3 linked regions of the Caenorhabditis elegans genome follow. The protein of the gene in region 1 interacts with the protein of each later gene in a biochemical or structural test. Each region holds a gene or a part of one and is shown on either strand. Other genes may lie near its edges.

Region 1 (5,372 bases):
ATTCTGCAAAAGTACATTTTCTGGCAGGCAGTCACTGCGCTAATATTTGAATCGGTATTTAGTTCGATGTAATTCAATTTTATTTTTTGAACCAGTTTTCAGTTCCCAATCATATTTAGCACTATCCAGTTGTTACATGGTTCTTGTGGGTGCTCTTTTGTGGTAATCGCTACCTTAGTGAGTACTCTTATAACTCCGTTGACTATTCAAGTTCCGTATTTGGGAAGCAGAAAATGGATTGGAGATTCATCGGAAAAAATCAGTTTGAAAAGATTTATCAAAGTGATTTTGGGGATCAAGAGTTTCAGCGTCAACCCACACATTAACGATCAATGAACACACACACGTGCTTGCTGGGTGGCCAATGCCCGGGGACTAGAAAACTCCTAGAAATCTAGGTTTTCTAGGCCACCGAGAAAACAAAAGTTCGGAAATTTTTTAGGATTTTTTTCATTCATTTCTGTGTCCGATTAACAAATGTAAAAAAACTCAGAATCTGAAATTTTTGATCGAAAGTTTCAGAAAAATCTGTAATCTCTGCAACTTTTCGAATTGTTTTTTTTTCCAATTTTTCCATCAAAAAATGTTCAAATTTAAAATTCCATCATAGAAAAAAAGTGTGGTAAAATATCATATCATCATATTAAAATAGCATAATAAAAGTTGGACAAAAAGAAGAGAAATTAACAATTAAAGTAAGAAAAAAGGGAAAAAGAGCCGAGTTTGTTGTTCAAATTCACAATAGAAAAAAGAGGATTTTTGGTTGTGGAGAGAGGGTTCGTTGTGTCCTAAAAATTACAAAAAAAAATCGAAAGTTTTTGAAAAAAAGTTTCAGAAAAATTCCAAATAATTTTTCAAACAAATTCCAAAAAGTTTGAACATTTTTTAGAAAAAATCGTAGAGATTTCCAAACATTTTCAGATTTTTCGAAGAAATTTCACAAAAATTTCGAAGAAATTTCAAATAAAAAAAATAAACCGATAAAAATTAGAGAGGAAAAAGCACTTGTGGTTTTTGGGGAAAAGTTATTCAATTTTTCAGATGAAAAAAGACCTATTTCAGGTGGGAAAAGGGGAAAAGCACAAAATTATGAATGGACAAATTGAGCATTTTTCGGCTCAAAAATGAGCACAAAATATGCTGAAAATTGGGGTGGATAAGTAAGAAAAGTATCACAGCGAGTTTAAGATGAAAAATCGTTGATACAAAACAAATTTTTAGAGATAAAAATAGAGGGGGAAAATGAGAAAAAGTGTGCTGGAAATTCAGATTTAGAGAGTGGAAACGCCCAGATTTTGGACAATTTTCTGGAAAAAAATCGAGAAATTTTCGGCTGAAATTGAGCTTTTTCAGTGGAAATTTGGCCGATTTTCGGTTAAAAAAAATAGTAATTTTCAGCCGATTTGGAGCATTTCTTTGAACGGAAATCGGCGAGTTTTTTGCCTAAAAATGCTCAGTTTTTGCCAATTTTTACTCCCTAAAAACCGGTAATTTCACAGCAAAATTCATCGATAAAACAAAAAAAATCCAGATGATATATGTATATATATAGTTAAAATTGTTGTAGTTTCTGCGATTGTTTGCTCCAATTTCCCCATCTTAGAGCACCGTACACTTGCTCTTTTTGGCTCTTTGTGGCGGCGTGAGCACGGCTCGGATCGCCTCATCGAAAACTTGTTTCAGACCACGTTGCGTGAGCGCCGAGCACTCCAGATACTTGACAGCCTTGATTTCCTTTGCCATCACGTAGCCCTGGGTTTGGCTCACTGGTTGGAGCCGGCGTTCGCGGAGCCTGCAAAAAAAATTTTTTTTTTCGGAATTTTTGCAAGTTTTCTCGATTTTAAGCCAATTTTGTTTAATGTGCTTTTTTTCAAAATTTCAAACTTTTGTCCACAATTTATGCGAATTTAGTGCAACTTTTTACATTTCTTTAGCGATTTATCTTAATTTTAATTTTTTTTTCAACATTTTGAGCAAATTTCTCAAAATCTTGCAAATTTTTTTCCAAAATTTTATGTGAATGTTGTGCTATTTTACGCAACTTTTCATACAATTTTTGCAATTTTTTTTCCTGAAATTGATGCGTTTTTTCCTTATTTCTCATTTTTTTGCCGTTTCTAATGATTTTTCTAATGTTTTGGCGGTATTCCTTCAATTTTTAAGTGATTTTCTGAATTTTTATGCGCTTTTTCGAATTTTTTGGCAATTTTTCATCATTTTCTACAAATTTTTCACTTTATTCCTCAATTTTTCTCTCAAATTCTCCAAAAATCTACCGTTCAACAGTATCTCGATCCTCACGCAGATCAGCTTTCGTTCCAACCAAAATAATCGGCGTATTCGGGCAATGATGTGACACTTCTGGATACCATTTCGCACGAACATTCTCAAAACTCGCCGGATTGTTCAGGGCAAAGCATACGAGAAACACGTCTGTTTGTGGATATGACAGTGGTCGGAGTCTGCAAATTTTTTTGGTGTTGAAAAATTGATAATTGGGGTAATTTTTAGTGCAAAGTGCGAAAAATTCCATGTTTTTCGAGTTTTTCACCACAAAATAGCTTCAAAATCACTGTCATTTTATGAAAAATTGGATGAAATTTTCTAAAATGTGATATTTTCCACATTTTGATTGAGGAAAATATCACATAATCCTGAGCAATTTTTTATTGAAAAAACCCATAATCCTGAGTTTTTTCGAGCATTTTCAGTTTTCCCGCTGCCCGTACCGATCGTAATCTTCCTGTCCAGCTGTATCCCAGAGCCCGAGATTTATCGGCCGACCGTCGACCATCACATTTGCTGAGTAGTTGTCGAATACCTGGAAAAAATTTGAATTTATGGGAAAAAAGCATTTTTTTGGGAAAAAGAAGACACCTTTCATATTTTTTGCGGGAAATTGTGCGCTTTTCAAAATTTTCAATTTTTTTGTTGCAAAAAGCCTACAATTTTATTGCATTTTTAAAAGTTTTTTGAATCAAAATTTTCTAGATTTTCCGTTTAAAAAAACTGAAGTTTTTTGAAATTTTCGACATTTTTTTTTCAAATAAAAATACCAATTTTTATATGAAATTTCACCATTTTCCCAGCTTTTGGTATAAAAAATATTAATTTATTGATTTTTATGGGAACAAGTTGACAATTTTCATATTTTTCAGCAAAATTTCGCTAAAAATGTGTTTCTTAAAACGATTTTTGCAGAAAACTTTTTTATCGCATTTTGAAAAGTTTTTTGTCTAGATTTTCCGTAAAAAACGGAAGTTTTAATTTTCATACTTTTCAGTGAAATTTCACTTATTTTTTTGATTAAAAAAATGTACTTTTTAAAACGATTTTTAGCAAAAAAAATTTAATTTAAATTATTTTTTATTTAAATGTTTTATAAATCAAAATGTTCACGATTTTCAGTATTGATAATTTCACTATTTTTCCCAGTTTTTGGCCTAAAAAAATATTTATTTCAATGATTTTTGGATCAAAATACAACAATTTTGAATATTTTTTGCCTAAATTTCTTTGTTTTTTTTTTTCGATTTTGTGTCAAAATGTCCTATTTTCTGAGCCAAAAAACGTAATTTTATCTCAATTTTTGCTTTAAAAATGACTCACCGTCGGAATATATTCTCCGGGAAATGCGTTTGTGGTGTAGGATATCAGGAGACACGTTTTACCGACGGCTCCGTCACCAACGACGACACATTTGATCGCTTGCATTTGTGGGGAGCTCCGCGAGCACAAGCACAAAAAGCTGGAAAAATTGGCTTAAAAATAGCAACAAAAAAAATCTATCAAAAATATTGAAAAACCGCCAAAAATCACGGTATTTTGAGCGAAAAAATCAGAAAAAAATGGGGGGAAAAATCACATTTAAATTAAAATTTTTGTACAAAAAATAAATGAACAAAAAACCTGAAAAAGTCATCGAATTTCGAGAGAAAAGCGAGCTTTTCCCCCGGGAAAAATGGGGAAATGGGTGCAAAATTGGATATTTTAAATGGGGAAAAATCTAGAAAATTGTGTCTATAAAACGGAAAAAAAGAGAGAGAGAGAGAGAACAAACCAAATCACAACGGGCATCAAGACGGAGAGAAAGGGAGTATTAGAGAAAAATGGCGGCAATGGGAGAAATTTTGAAATGAGAAGATGGAAAAATGAGTGAAAACCGTAATTTTTTTGACAAAAAAGTCACTGAAATTCGTCGTAATTTACATGTTTCGGCTGGAAAATCGTCAAAAAAAGAAAGCTTTTTTCGAGGTAATTTTCAATAGAAGCTCCATCATTTTTAACGGGAATTATTGAAATTTACAATTTTCGGCTGAAATTAGAAGATTTAAGTGAATTTTTAACGGAAAAACATGTAAAAAACTTGAAAAATCACGGAAAAGCACCGAAATTTTGATGTTAAACAATTTTTCATCAGGAAAATAAATGAAATATGGAATTTTTAGCTAAAATCGTTTTAAAAAAATGCATTTTTCTCGATTTCTCAGCAATAATTTTAAGTTTTTCGTCAGAAAATCGCTGAAATTCCCACTTTTTATTGAAAAAAGTATTTTTCATCCAAAAATCGAGAATTTTATCGAATTTTTAGCATTTTTATGGACAATTTTTCACGATTTTCCAGTTTTGGTCAAAAAATTAGCAATTTTTTCTCAAAAATTTCCACGATTTTCAATCCAAATTTTATTTAAATTTTAAATAGGAAGACCAGCAGTTCGTCGACATTTCTGCATTGTTGCTCGGTAGATAAATTGCTCTCGGGACACGTCACGAACATGGCGGAGGTATTCGGCAAGTGTTATTTGGCGTTTTTTCAGTGATTGACCTGAAATTTTGAAGATTAGGCAAAAAAAAAATTTCTCATAAATACCATAATTTTTTTTCGTTTTTTTTTTTGCTGGATTTCGGAAAAATTTTTACACCGAAAATTTGCTGAAATTCCAATTTTCAGTCATTTTCAATAATTTTTCTATCAAATTTCCGCAAAAAAAAAACACTTTTGCTAAAATAAAACCGAAACTGATTTTTGAACGATTTCAACAAAATTTTGGAGTAAAAATGGCTGAAAATTGTTCAGAAACTTCCAATTTTTTGTAGTTTTTGTGAATTTTCTAGAATTTAAAGTCAATTTTAACTAATTTCTGTTTTTTTTCGGGGGTTTTTGAATGATTTGTAGTAGTGCTAATAGACGAAATCGTTGAAAAATTTCAGAAAAACGCTTTTAATTTGGCTTCAAATCTCTCAGAAACTTCGAAAAATCTCAACTTTAATTTAATTTTTTTGAAACATTTTCACTAGTTTTTCTTAATTTTCAACTTCTGCATTTTTTGAAAACAATTTTTGCACATTTTCCTCAGGATTGAGCAATTCCA
Region 2 (6,614 bases), on another chromosome or scaffold:
TTTTGATTTTAGTTTTCAATAAGAAATATGAAAAAAGTGGCATTATAGCACTATGAAACATTTGTAAGCTCCTGAAACTTTCAATCACTATTATGGTGAAAAATATAGTTCCAGAATACTCACAGGGATTATTCACATATTCAACTTGTTATGTGACTTGATTTTTTAAGTTTTGCTAAAATATGTTGTGCGTGTTCTTGAAAACCTTTAAAATTATCAATAATCAGCCTGACAACATTATCAGCCTCTGGAGTAACTTTTGTGTCCTTTAGCACAGTTGCTCTCAACAAAGTTCAGATATACCTAAATTGTGGTGGTGGGAGTTGAGTTGTGCTGCTGCAATTACTAGAATAACTATTTCTAGAATAAAATATATAGTCTAAACATAATCATTCAAATGAACTATTTATCATTTCTAATTTTTGAGGTAAACTACCTTATACCATGTACCTGGTCAGGAATAATAATAAATAATTTTTCAAAAGAAAATAGTACAATTTCCTTGAACAAAATTTGACTATTTTGAAAACTTTTCTGATTCTATAAGTAAATTCATCTCTCTTTTATTAAACATGATCAATTGTTTCAAACGTCATGAGACAAAATTTAAGATTTTGACCTTATGGCCGATTTTTAAATTGGAAACCACATGAAAACAGAGTTTCAATAGTTCCCACCTACAGACACTTGAAAAAGAAATAGGGAAATTTGGGCAAAGCTGGTTAACTGTAGATTTCCGTTCGAACGACACAAATGCAAGAAACCGAATGAAAAGAAGACAAAGTGAAGACAAAAAACTTACATAAATAATTGAAGTGTGTCGTCTGATTGGGAACGCTCAACAACAAGAAAAAAGAGATAGTCCAAATTGTGCATTGCGAGAAGAGATAAAGAGGGGGAAGATGTGAAATAATGAAGGGGCTTGAATTTTTACTCGTGATCGATTCCAGAAAACATTACACAAATTACTAAGGTGTGACTTTTTTGTTGGGAAACGGTAAGTTGGGCTCAAAGTAGATAGTTAGAAATGACTTGAGATGGAGAGAAAAGAAAACAGTTTCAAAGTAAGTACGACTTGAGATTTGAGAAGAACAAGAAATACACGTCGTGTATTGAGAATACAATCATCATAATTATGAGTTGCTAGCTTCGGCGATGCTCTTCTTCGCCGCAACGATTAAGTAGTACAGTGAAGCAAGCGGTTTGGCGCATCGGAGGAATGGATGCGTAAGGAGTTGGCTTGCCGACCATCGATTTTCAACTTGTACTTCCAACGCAGAGTCGACAAAGTCCTGGAAATTGGGACAGAATGGGAGAAATTGATACTGTACTGAAAGTAAAGTAAAACTGCGGTAGCAGTTGAGTCATCTTTTGTACATTTGTGACTAACTGTTAACAAATATTTTTTTTATCAAATCTTCTGTTTCGAAAGTTCTCGAGTTCTCTTACCTTGAACAACAAAGTCATGGAATCTCTTCCAGGGAAGTCGGGTTTGCCATTTGTAGCAATGAGATAGATAGCCTGAAAAAAAATATTTTTAAGATCAATATTGATTGATGAGAAATTTTAAGCTAAAATTATAAAACCTAAGTATAGCTGAAACAACTTTAACTTTAACTTTCTCGTCATTTTACAGCAACTTCTCAACAACGTCTCAATCTTCTCAACTTAAGCGATTTTTCAACAAAGTTTACCCAGCTTTCGGTAGTTCTCAATGCACATCTGTATCTTGCGGTGGGGGTCATCCCTAACTTTTACCAACTTTACCCAACTATTGCAACTTTTGAGATTGGTTGCTAAAGTTAGCTGAGAAGTTACGGAAAAATGTAAAGTTTCTGCTAAATTTTTTCTTAGGCGCCTGTTCAATAACATGACCTCAACCTGAACCAAATTATTTTCTGATCGTTATGGGCAAAACTGGGGTTGCTATTCTTACTAGGGAATAGTGGCCAATTAGATTTTTTTGAAATTCATTAAGCAACAAATTTATCGCTGTAACAACAAATTTCCATTTCTCATTCACACTCTGCGAGCACAAGTGTTATTGAAAGGAATCATATATTCAGATTCATGTTTTTTTTTTCAATTATCAAGCGTTGTCTTCTTAAATTCAAAAAAGCAAATATTTCATACCCTGAGTGGATTTTCATTCAAATATGGCGGTTCTCCTTCGACCATCTCAATCGCCATGATTCCCAAGGACCACACATCAACCTTGGGTCCGTATTGTTTGCGGGTCACCACTTCCGGCGCCATCTGCAATTGTCAAACATTAATTTCCTATTCGCTTTTTCAATTTCCATCACTCACCCAGTATGGAGTTCCGACCATTGTCGTGCGTTTTCTTTGCTCCGGCGAGAGCTGAGCACAGAATCCAAAGTCGGCTGAAATTCACAGAAGTAGGTTGCAAAAGCATTAAAAATTATAATCTTACTCAATTTCACCGAACCATCCATTCCCAAAAGAATATTGTCAGATTTAATATCTCTGTGAATGACGTGGCGGCTGTGGAGGAATTCAAGCGCTTGAAGAACTTCTCTGCAAACAGCTGCAATAATTCCATCCTCCATCTGGCACTCCGTGACAACATCAGTCAATGATCCACCGGCAAGATACTCCATCACTACCCATAATTCATCGCACACCAAATACGAATCCAAATAATTTACAATATTTGCATGCTTATTCTCACGCATCACCAAAATCTCATTAATGATCAATTCCTTCTTTGGTTGATCCTTCAGGTTCATCTGCTTGATAGCCACCTCCGCTTCGGTACTAATTTCAATAGCGGTGTACACAGAACCAGATGCACCTGAGCCGATTTTATCAACTTTTCTATATTTTCGATCTGGATTTCCGATAGACACAATGGTACGGAGCTTAGTCAGCACTTCAGCGTCAGTCATCTTTTTCTTAGCTTTTTGACCTCTGGCCTGTACACCAAATTGTCCTTTTGAAAGGTCTGGAATTTTTTCTTCCTCCTCTTTCGGTTTTGTGTACTGAAAATATACTTATATGTTATAGAGAACTTGGGAAAAATTCGGTACTTGTGTATTACATGCCCTCATTTTGAAATTGAATTAAATTTTCATTCATTTCTCCATATAATTTAAACGTGATATACATTTTTCCTCTCCAGGCTTAGAAAGATTATTTCCTAAACCTAGAAATAAAAAATGTGGTACACGTTTTTATTGTTTTTAACTTAAAAAAATACTCTAAAACTAAGGGCATGTAATACACAAGTACCAAAAATTCTACTCACAATACTCAACGTCCTTGCCGGCCTATCAGGGATAGCGGGAGGAACAATATCAGCAGGAGTTTCACCATGGGGGACCGGTGGCGGTGCATAACTCTGAAGCAATCAATATGAACTTCAAGATTATTCTTCCCACTTACCGGTGGCATACTCGATCTATTCTCATTTACACTAAACGTCGTCGGAGGAACTCCTTGCTTGCTGTTATACCCCGCACTACTTGTACTGGTTGTCATTGGATTCATCTTTCTTGGATCCTGAATTTTATTGCCATGATACGGCAGGGATGATGTGCTATATGGTTGCGGTTTCAGTCCGTATGATGGCGTCCGAGAAGGTGCGTCATCTATAAACACTGTAGAAGAATGAGCTCCATTAGCAAGACTGACTACGGGTTACTTACTCATATCGTACTGCAACCACTTCTGGCCGCTGCTTTCGCCTTGTGTGTAGTATTTGAGCGCGTCCAACACTGCCTGAGGATTCTGTTGCTGCTCTTGTTTTGAGATCTGTGAGTCTGTGAGAAGACGTGCCCATGCTTCAGGCATTCCCTGAAAATTTATATTGTTGATAAGGAGCAAAAGTTTCTGAGAAAAGTTTATAAATAAGATTCTACAGTAGTTTCTCAAGTCTATTCGACAAAACAGACCTCTTCATACTAAAAAAATTGGGACAATTTCATAGGTCTTTAGAAGAAACTATCTTTGGTTGAATACATGTTCGTGATAATTGGCTTCACTTAAATTTTTCTCGTATGGATTTGTTTTCTTAAAACGTCTCAAAAACGCAAGCTTTATTAACACTAACCATGGTTTCAAGAATAACACGTTTTTAGAAGATAATGCACTGAATTAACGGTTGCAAAATATTATTATAAATTGAGATTTGTTTATAATGATTTTTTGACTGAGGGAAAAAGTAAAAGTAGTAGTTTTTAGTTTTTAGCTTACTATTAGCATTCACGTTAATCTGGTACGATTAGCGGTTGCGACCGGTGTCAGAATGACAGCTGTATCACTCGTTCATCATTGGAAAATAATCTTGCAAGTAACGCAAGAGTGGGAAAACTGCTACAAAAACTTTTTGAAAAAATACTGACCGTAAATTCGCCGGTTTTTGGGTCATATCCGACATGAATTGTGTGTTCGAAATTGCTCGGTCGAGAGATCACTGGTTTTTCTGACGCTTCCTTTTTGTCTTTGTTCTCTGAAAAAAACAGGAAAATCAGGAATGGTTACAAGAGCAATATATTACTTTTCATGAACGGGTTAGGCATCGTCTTCTTTTTCTTGGTTGCTTCTGGCTCTTTGGGCAATGGCTTCAATCCGACGACCTGAAAAATTGAGTTAGTCAAGACATGGAGAATGGAAAAAAGAGAAATAGAGATGGGTGGGAGAGGGGCAAGCAACACATGCATCATCTGATTTGGAAGAAGAACCTTCGAAAGATTGTCGCCCATCTTTGGGGAGGAGTGGAGGGACGAGTTAATTACCTGATTCTCCCTCGTTGCCGAGCTGCTGAAACGAATTGGTGGTGCTGGTGGTTTCTCATCATACGATGAGAAAGCTTTCATTTTGGCAAGCCTGGAAAATTGAAACTGTTGGAAAAAGAAGACACAAGCATCAAACCAAAAAAGAATGAAGGAATACAGTATGCAATGTAAAACTGAAAAAGGAAAACAATAATTAGGAGGAATTTTCGTTGTCAAGTGAAATCGAAACTGTTGGAAAAATAGGAAAATTGGAACCAATATTCATGTTTTGTTGAGTCAAAAAAACATAGAAAAACGATCACAATAAAGAATCAGAAAAAGAAAGAACAAATTGCTGACCGCCCCCTTATAAAAAAATTGTTGGACTATGACTAACAAAAGAGGAAATTGATAGGAGCGGGCAGGGAAATGGATGCACAACACATGGTGTAAAGAGGACATTGACCCAGTGCTATGAGTAATCTTGGACCGAAAAAGCATGGCCCTTTCGCCTTTCGAGGTCGTCTATTGGATTGCTTTTCTATATTTTTTTAGTAATCTCAGGGTAGGAGTTATGGAAAATGTGGGACCCAGAATTTGACCTTTTCTTCGGAGTTCTCATTTGCATTATTGCTTCAAAGAGCCTATCTGCAACCAACGTCTGACGTGAGTTTGACCCGAAAAAGATAGATGGCTTTTTGGTTTTCAAAACGAAAGATTTCAAAGTTTAGGAGATGATGGATGGTGAATAAACTGGGCCAGAGGAAGAAGAAGGAATATTTTTCAAAGGAGAAAAAGAAGAGACGGGAATCTTTTTTAAAGTGTGATGATATGAGTCATTCATGTTTCACTTCATTTTATCGCCCACCACCGTGTGTTCGCGTACTTGTTTCCCGCTTGTCATCCAAGTGGCAATCAGCCGGATAATGTTCTAGAAGTGTGAAGCCGAAAAGAGTAGAAACTGTGAAACGAGGTTCGGAGTGAGTGACAATGTTGAGAACTAGTTTAGGAAATTAGAAAGTGAAAGCCGAAAAAAAGCTGAAAAGTTTGCATTCATACTAACGGTGAATGATGATACTTTTGGTCTAATACTATTCTCGATTAAAGGAGGGGTATCGGTTTTGGGTTTTTACTTGTAAGCACTCAAAATGTTCATAAAGGAACAAATTTAATAATGAGACCTCATAAAAATCATAGGGGGTTGATTGTGGCCATTTTCAATTACGTATGGGCTTTAAATGTACATTCATTAACAAAATAATGTAAGAAAATCACCAATATGCAATAAAAACATTCTAATCTTCAAAATAAATTTTCCAACAGCTGAGACATGAAAAAATAGCCAATTTTAATTAAAATTAGGTGTTTTTAAAATTTCAGACCGCCATAAAAAATTGTTGAACATTTTTTGAGAATCCTCATTACATAATCTGTTAATTTGGGAATATTTACAATCTAGACCTGCAAAAACCCAAAGGAAAATCACAAAACCGAAAGAAAAAAAAAAAAGAAAAATGAGAAACAAAATCTAGGTATCTAAGATTTTATTACACTGTCGATAAGAAATCCAATCTCATTTTGCACAATGTAGAAAAAAAACAGTTCGAAACCTGGACTGTTTGCTAGAAATGGAGAATGGCACTGTGTTTGTTGAACGCGCGCCATTTTCTAGTGTTATCAATTGAATGGAGGAAACAGAGAAAGATAACTAGTACGGTGGGTCGCGGATGATGCGGCCAAGGCAATTGATAAAGAGCTGCGGAGGGGCAAAACGGACGGATGAGGGGAGGATGTCGTTGGAGATAAAATCAATCGATAGCGGTCAAATGAAGAAGAACACACACAACCAGACATACGCACACACACATATACACGACA
Region 3 (4,594 bases), on another chromosome or scaffold:
TTAAAGGATATTCCGCTATTTTTGGCTGTTATAAGTGTATATAGTTTTTTGTTGTTTTTGTAGGAATCCATATTTTTTAAACGAAAAAAAAACCATACACTGAGAGCTTTCAGAATGTGTCGAACATTGGTCCATGTTTGTTTTCCACGCATATCAATTACCACAAGGAATCCCTTTTCGCGTGCCATCTTCCTGCAAATTCAATTTTTTGTTTGGTTTTTTTGAAATTTGTGTTTTGTGGGCTTAGGCTAGGCTTATTGTTAAGTAATTGAATTGAAAAATGGAAATAAATTTTTTGAAATATCTTTTTATAAATTTTGTTTTTTCACAGTGTGGTTGTTCCATTTCAGTCAAATAAAAAACTTACGAAGTAACTTCAAATAAATACAGAAAGACATTGCGTAAATTATCCTGATTGACAGGTTGCTCTCGTGATGGACATACGATAACTGCTTGTCCGGCTCTACATCGTCCTCCAGGAAGTACTGCAATGCCGTCACGAAGAACATGCAGAATGTCTTCTGCTTTCATCGTCATCTGGAATTTTTTCGAATTGTTTAAAATCAAAAGTTTTCATAGAGTTTTTGAGATTATTTTTGAAAGTTCAAAATGTCCGGGAACATGAAACCAAAATCTTAGAAAACCAAAAAAAGCTCGCAGTGGCTCCAAAAAATATCAGTGTTTGTCGTAAAAGAAGGACCATTCGAAATTCAATTCACCACCAGAGGAAACGGGTGAGATAGAGGGAGAGAGCGTTGAGACGCAGGCAACACAACACCGAAGAGTGGAATAGGGGGGGAGTCGAGTGGAACGAAAAGGGGCTGGTCACATTGCACTGCAGTTTATCACCAAGTTCAATCTGCTAATCGACTTTTTCGTGTATTGGGACGGACGGACGGAATGGTTAGTGCGCTGTTCGCGGCCCCCGGCAATGGAAAATGACTGTTGATTTGGAGGAAAAGCAGAGAGTCAGAGATAACAGTTCTGCGATCACTAACTCGATTTTTAGGGCTAGCTTCTTGTCTAATTTTGGACCAAAAATTGGGCAAAACTTATACTTGGTTAGGGTGCGCCCAACTTTTCTTGTGTGGTTTTAAACTTGGGTTAGAGTTTGTCAAAAGTTGGATCAAGTTTGGGCTGGATTTGGGCGCAGTCTAAATCAATCTAAGCTTTGCCAACTTCTGGGCAAGAAGCGGGCACCAAATTTTGAAATTTTCGAATTCTAAATGGTGAAGTCGCAGGGGGCGAATTTTCGCTGAACTTGCACTAAAACTTGGAATAAAAAAGAAAATGTCAAACGGAAATCTAGGTTTTATAAAATTTTTTTATTTTTTGTATTTTTTCATTTTTGTATGGCCAATACTGAAAGAAAAATTTGAAATCATTCACTGTACATTACTTTTTTTAAATTTTATGAAACTGTAAAATAGAGATAACAAACTAGAATCATTGATTTTAAATTAAAATAATCAGTACAATGTACTCAAAAACTACCTATAAAAGTTTGGCTCTTTTTGTTTATTTTGTGAAAAAATTGGGCAGAAAAATTTGTATTTGAAAGAAAAAAGACTGAGAGAACTTTTTGTAAAAGCTCAACCAGAGTATTTTGAAGTTGACTAGTTTACTTGCAAGGCAAACCAACACGAAAAAAAACGAAAAAGGAAGAAAGAAAACCCGGCACACAAGAGATTTTCTTTCATTTTTTCTTTCTTTTTCCTCCAATTTTTTGCACTACAACAATTCTCAATGTCTTCCCCGATTGCCATAAACTGCCGTCATTACACACACACACTATTCGGATTTTTTTGTTGGTATTCGTTCTCTCTCACATTTTCCTCGCTTCTCGAGGTCATAATCCTGTCTCGAACAACAACATACTAGTAGTAAGATTGGTGCTAATCGAGAAGGCACTCTTTGAGAGTACCATCTGTTTCAAGGATTGAGGGAAGAGCTTGATAAGCTCCCACTATTTCGTTTCTTTTCTCACACAACTTTACACAACCGGTCACTATTATCGTGCTATCTGCGTCTCTCCATCTCATGATCTATCCGGAAATAATGGGTGAGAAGAAGCAGGAGCACCGGGAGAGCACCGAATTTCGGAATGAGTGACACAAAACAATTGACTCATAACATATTTCAAAAACGTGATGAACTCATTTTACACTTTTCAACAATTGTCTGGGAAGGTTTGTAATCGTAATACATCAATTATTATGATTTATTTTTCTTTAGTTTGGACCTAATCAAGATTTATAGTCGTGAAAAAGAGTAGAGATCTCGGAAATTTTTTTTTTCAATTTTGGCAAAACTTTAAAGTTATATTAAATTTTTTAGTTGCTGTTTTGGTGTTAATTTTTTCTACTACTCATAGGCGAAATTTAACGATTTTTGTATCAAAATACGGTACCCGGTCTTGACACGATAAAATTTTATTTGAAGAATACTGTAATCTCTAGCATTTGGTTTTTGCGGAATTTTCATCAATTTTCATTGTTATTTATAAAAAAATTTTTCATCGGAACAATTTTACAACAAAAAAACTGTTAAACACATAAATTTAAACAAATATAGAGAAAAAAATCAATAATCAACTAAACTACAGTAATCTTTAAAGGCTCATCAAAAATTTGTAGTATCGAGACCGAATACCGTATTTTTATTGCAAATATCGCAAAACTTTGCGTCTGGGCAATATTAACAAAACAAAATTAAATTATTTGAAATTTAAAAATTTGATGAAAAAGACATTTCTCGGAACATTCGAAAAACAAAAACGTATTCTTTTCTCTATCAAATCGTACAGTTTGCACTCGTTTTCCGCATTAATCGCTTCAATGGATTACGGCGCCGGCATCTCTGCCTCTTTTTTCACAAGTTGCCGCTGCCGCCACCATGAAACTGAAAAAACTCACTTTTCCATCATAATCGCCCATAACTGATGGAGGAATTTTATGCGAATTTGACGACTCTTCTTGAATTCAAAATAATCATGTGCTTCTGAATGTCTGTGTGTGTATTGTGACGATCAGATGAGAACCCGTTTATCTGAAAAAATGACAGTTTTCAAAGAATTTTAAATTTCTTTCAAAAAAAGAGATTTGAGAAAATAAAATAGAGTGCGTATTGAAAAGAGAGAAAAAGTTGATTTTCGATTTAAATTTTCTGATGAAATATTGCTCGAAAATCATGGAAAATCACACTAAATAAGATTTTAAAAATCAAAGAAAAAATCGAGACAAAATTATTAATTATTATGGAAAAAACAAAATTTTCCAGAACATTTAAAAATAAGTGCATTACAATTTTAGAAGCTTTTCATATAGCTTAACATCTTCTTGGAACAAGTTTGGTATACAAAATATTTCAAACAATCCGGAAAAAAATGGCTTAAATCGGAAATTGGCAACATGTGGCTTGAGCTAATTTAATTCTATTTGACCCTAGTCTAAACAATCTCTTGCCAAATTTTGGTCAAAATGGTCTTGCCAATTTTTAAAACTAAATTTTAAAGTTTGTTTTAAAATGACTGACTCATTGATATTTTTGAAGAAATTCTATACTCAAGCAGCTAAAAATAGGATGGAAAAGGTCGAAACATTGCGAAACGTTATTAGATCTTCTCACTAGAATACGTACTTTTTCAGGAAGTATGCATTATTCAAATGTCTTCACTGCATAAAATAAAATAAGCAAATAAAGATGTGATGAATCTAGTCTCAATTATTAGTTGCACAACGCATTACAAATCGTTGGGTGTGAAAATGCGAAAATCGTGGAAAAGGAAGAAGAAAAGGAAGAGCTACCAAAACGAACTATTTCTCTCAAGAGGGCCCAACCATTGGGGTGGGCACCGCTCCGGGAATAGCGTACGAAAGCGGGAGACAAGCGAATTGTTATGGGAGGCTAACGGCCGTTGTAGCAGACCGCTGGTCATATGAGACAGTGCTAGTGTCCTGTAGAGACGCAGACGTAAAAAGAGAACGCAAGGGTCACTGCGCGCGCAGACGGATGTTGATGGACCGGACAGACCGCCGGGGACACAACAGGCAAAATAAGAAAGAAGACATGAAGAAGACGACGACGTGAGATGGCGGTAATGGTGGCAGGTGCAAACGATGCAGGCGACAGATGACAAGAAGTATGTTAGCAACACTTCAAATATAGATAATTCTGTTTAAATCCTTTCTTCTCCAAAATTGAATTTTTCAATTGAACTCAATAGATGCTGTTGTGAGCTCTAGAAGTTGTTGAGATGTCTTTATAATCTAATCTCTCAAATTCTTTGAAACTACTTGTATCTGAACTAGAGCATTTTAGTTCAACAGGCAAAACAGATCAAAATTTAATGCAAAAATATATAACAAATAATTTATTAATCAGAAAATAATTTTCATTTAAGTTTGAAAATGTGAAAATATGATTAAAAATTGCATGAAAGTTGCCAATTGCTGGAAAAAAGTGTCAATAATTTGTCTGATTTATTCCAGCAATTTTCACCTTTCAGACAACTTTTAAGGATTTTTTTTCAACTAAAAAATTATTTTCAGATCAATCAATCCTATATTTTGACACTAAATTTTAATGAAAAATA

The links. Proteins that work in one complex are often made in the same cells at the same time.
Region 2: the proteins of ced-10 (region 1) and pak-1 interact in far-western blotting, tested with the Caenorhabditis elegans proteins (one study listed by BioGRID).
Region 3: of the proteins of ced-10 (region 1) and unc-73, one has a biochemical effect on the other in vitro, tested with the Caenorhabditis elegans proteins (2 studies listed by BioGRID).

What each region holds. Positions count from the first base shown.
Region 1 is NC_003282.8:3,505,780-3,511,151, forward strand, and holds ced-10 (Ras-related protein ced-10), read right to left. Parts: upstream 3,749-5,372; 5' UTR 3,715-3,748; coding exon 3,610-3,714; intron 3,330-3,609; exon of another isoform or gene 3,180-3,329; intron 2,822-3,179; coding exon 2,730-2,821; intron 2,463-2,729; coding exon 2,277-2,462; intron 1,793-2,276; coding exon 1,600-1,792; 3' UTR 549-1,599; downstream 1-548. Other genes in the region: srz-83 (Serpentine Receptor, class Z), read left to right, coding at 1-54, 103-336; tsg-101 (Tumor susceptibility gene 101 protein), read right to left, coding at 4,695-4,825. UniProt on the Caenorhabditis elegans protein: Required in engulfing to control the phagocytosis of apoptotic cell corpses. Required in embryonic development for the correct positioning and orientation of the mitotic spindles and division planes in blastomere cells.
Region 2 is NC_003284.9:6,043,761-6,050,374, forward strand, and holds pak-1 (Serine/threonine-protein kinase pak-1), read right to left. Parts: upstream 4,845-6,614; 5' UTR 4,839-4,844; coding exon 4,758-4,838; intron 4,599-4,757; coding exon 4,520-4,598; intron 4,472-4,519; coding exon 4,365-4,471; intron 3,817-4,364; coding exon 3,669-3,816; intron 3,621-3,668; coding exon 3,406-3,620; intron 3,362-3,405; coding exon 3,269-3,361; exon of another isoform or gene 3,120-3,268; intron 3,003-3,119; coding exon 2,435-3,002; intron 2,385-2,434; coding exon 2,311-2,384; intron 2,257-2,310; coding exon 2,134-2,256; intron 1,522-2,133; coding exon 1,450-1,521; intron 1,293-1,449; coding exon 1,134-1,292; 3' UTR 549-1,133; downstream 1-548. UniProt on the Caenorhabditis elegans protein: Required for hypodermal cell fusion, together with cdc-42 and ced-10, leading to embryonic body elongation, which involves dramatic cytoskeletal reorganization.
Region 3 is NC_003279.8:4,028,692-4,033,285, forward strand, and holds the start of unc-73 (CRAL-TRIO domain-containing protein), read right to left. Parts: upstream 3,049-4,594; 5' UTR 2,937-3,048; coding exon 2,916-2,936; intron 538-2,915; coding exon 368-537; intron 193-367; coding exon 99-192; intron 1-98.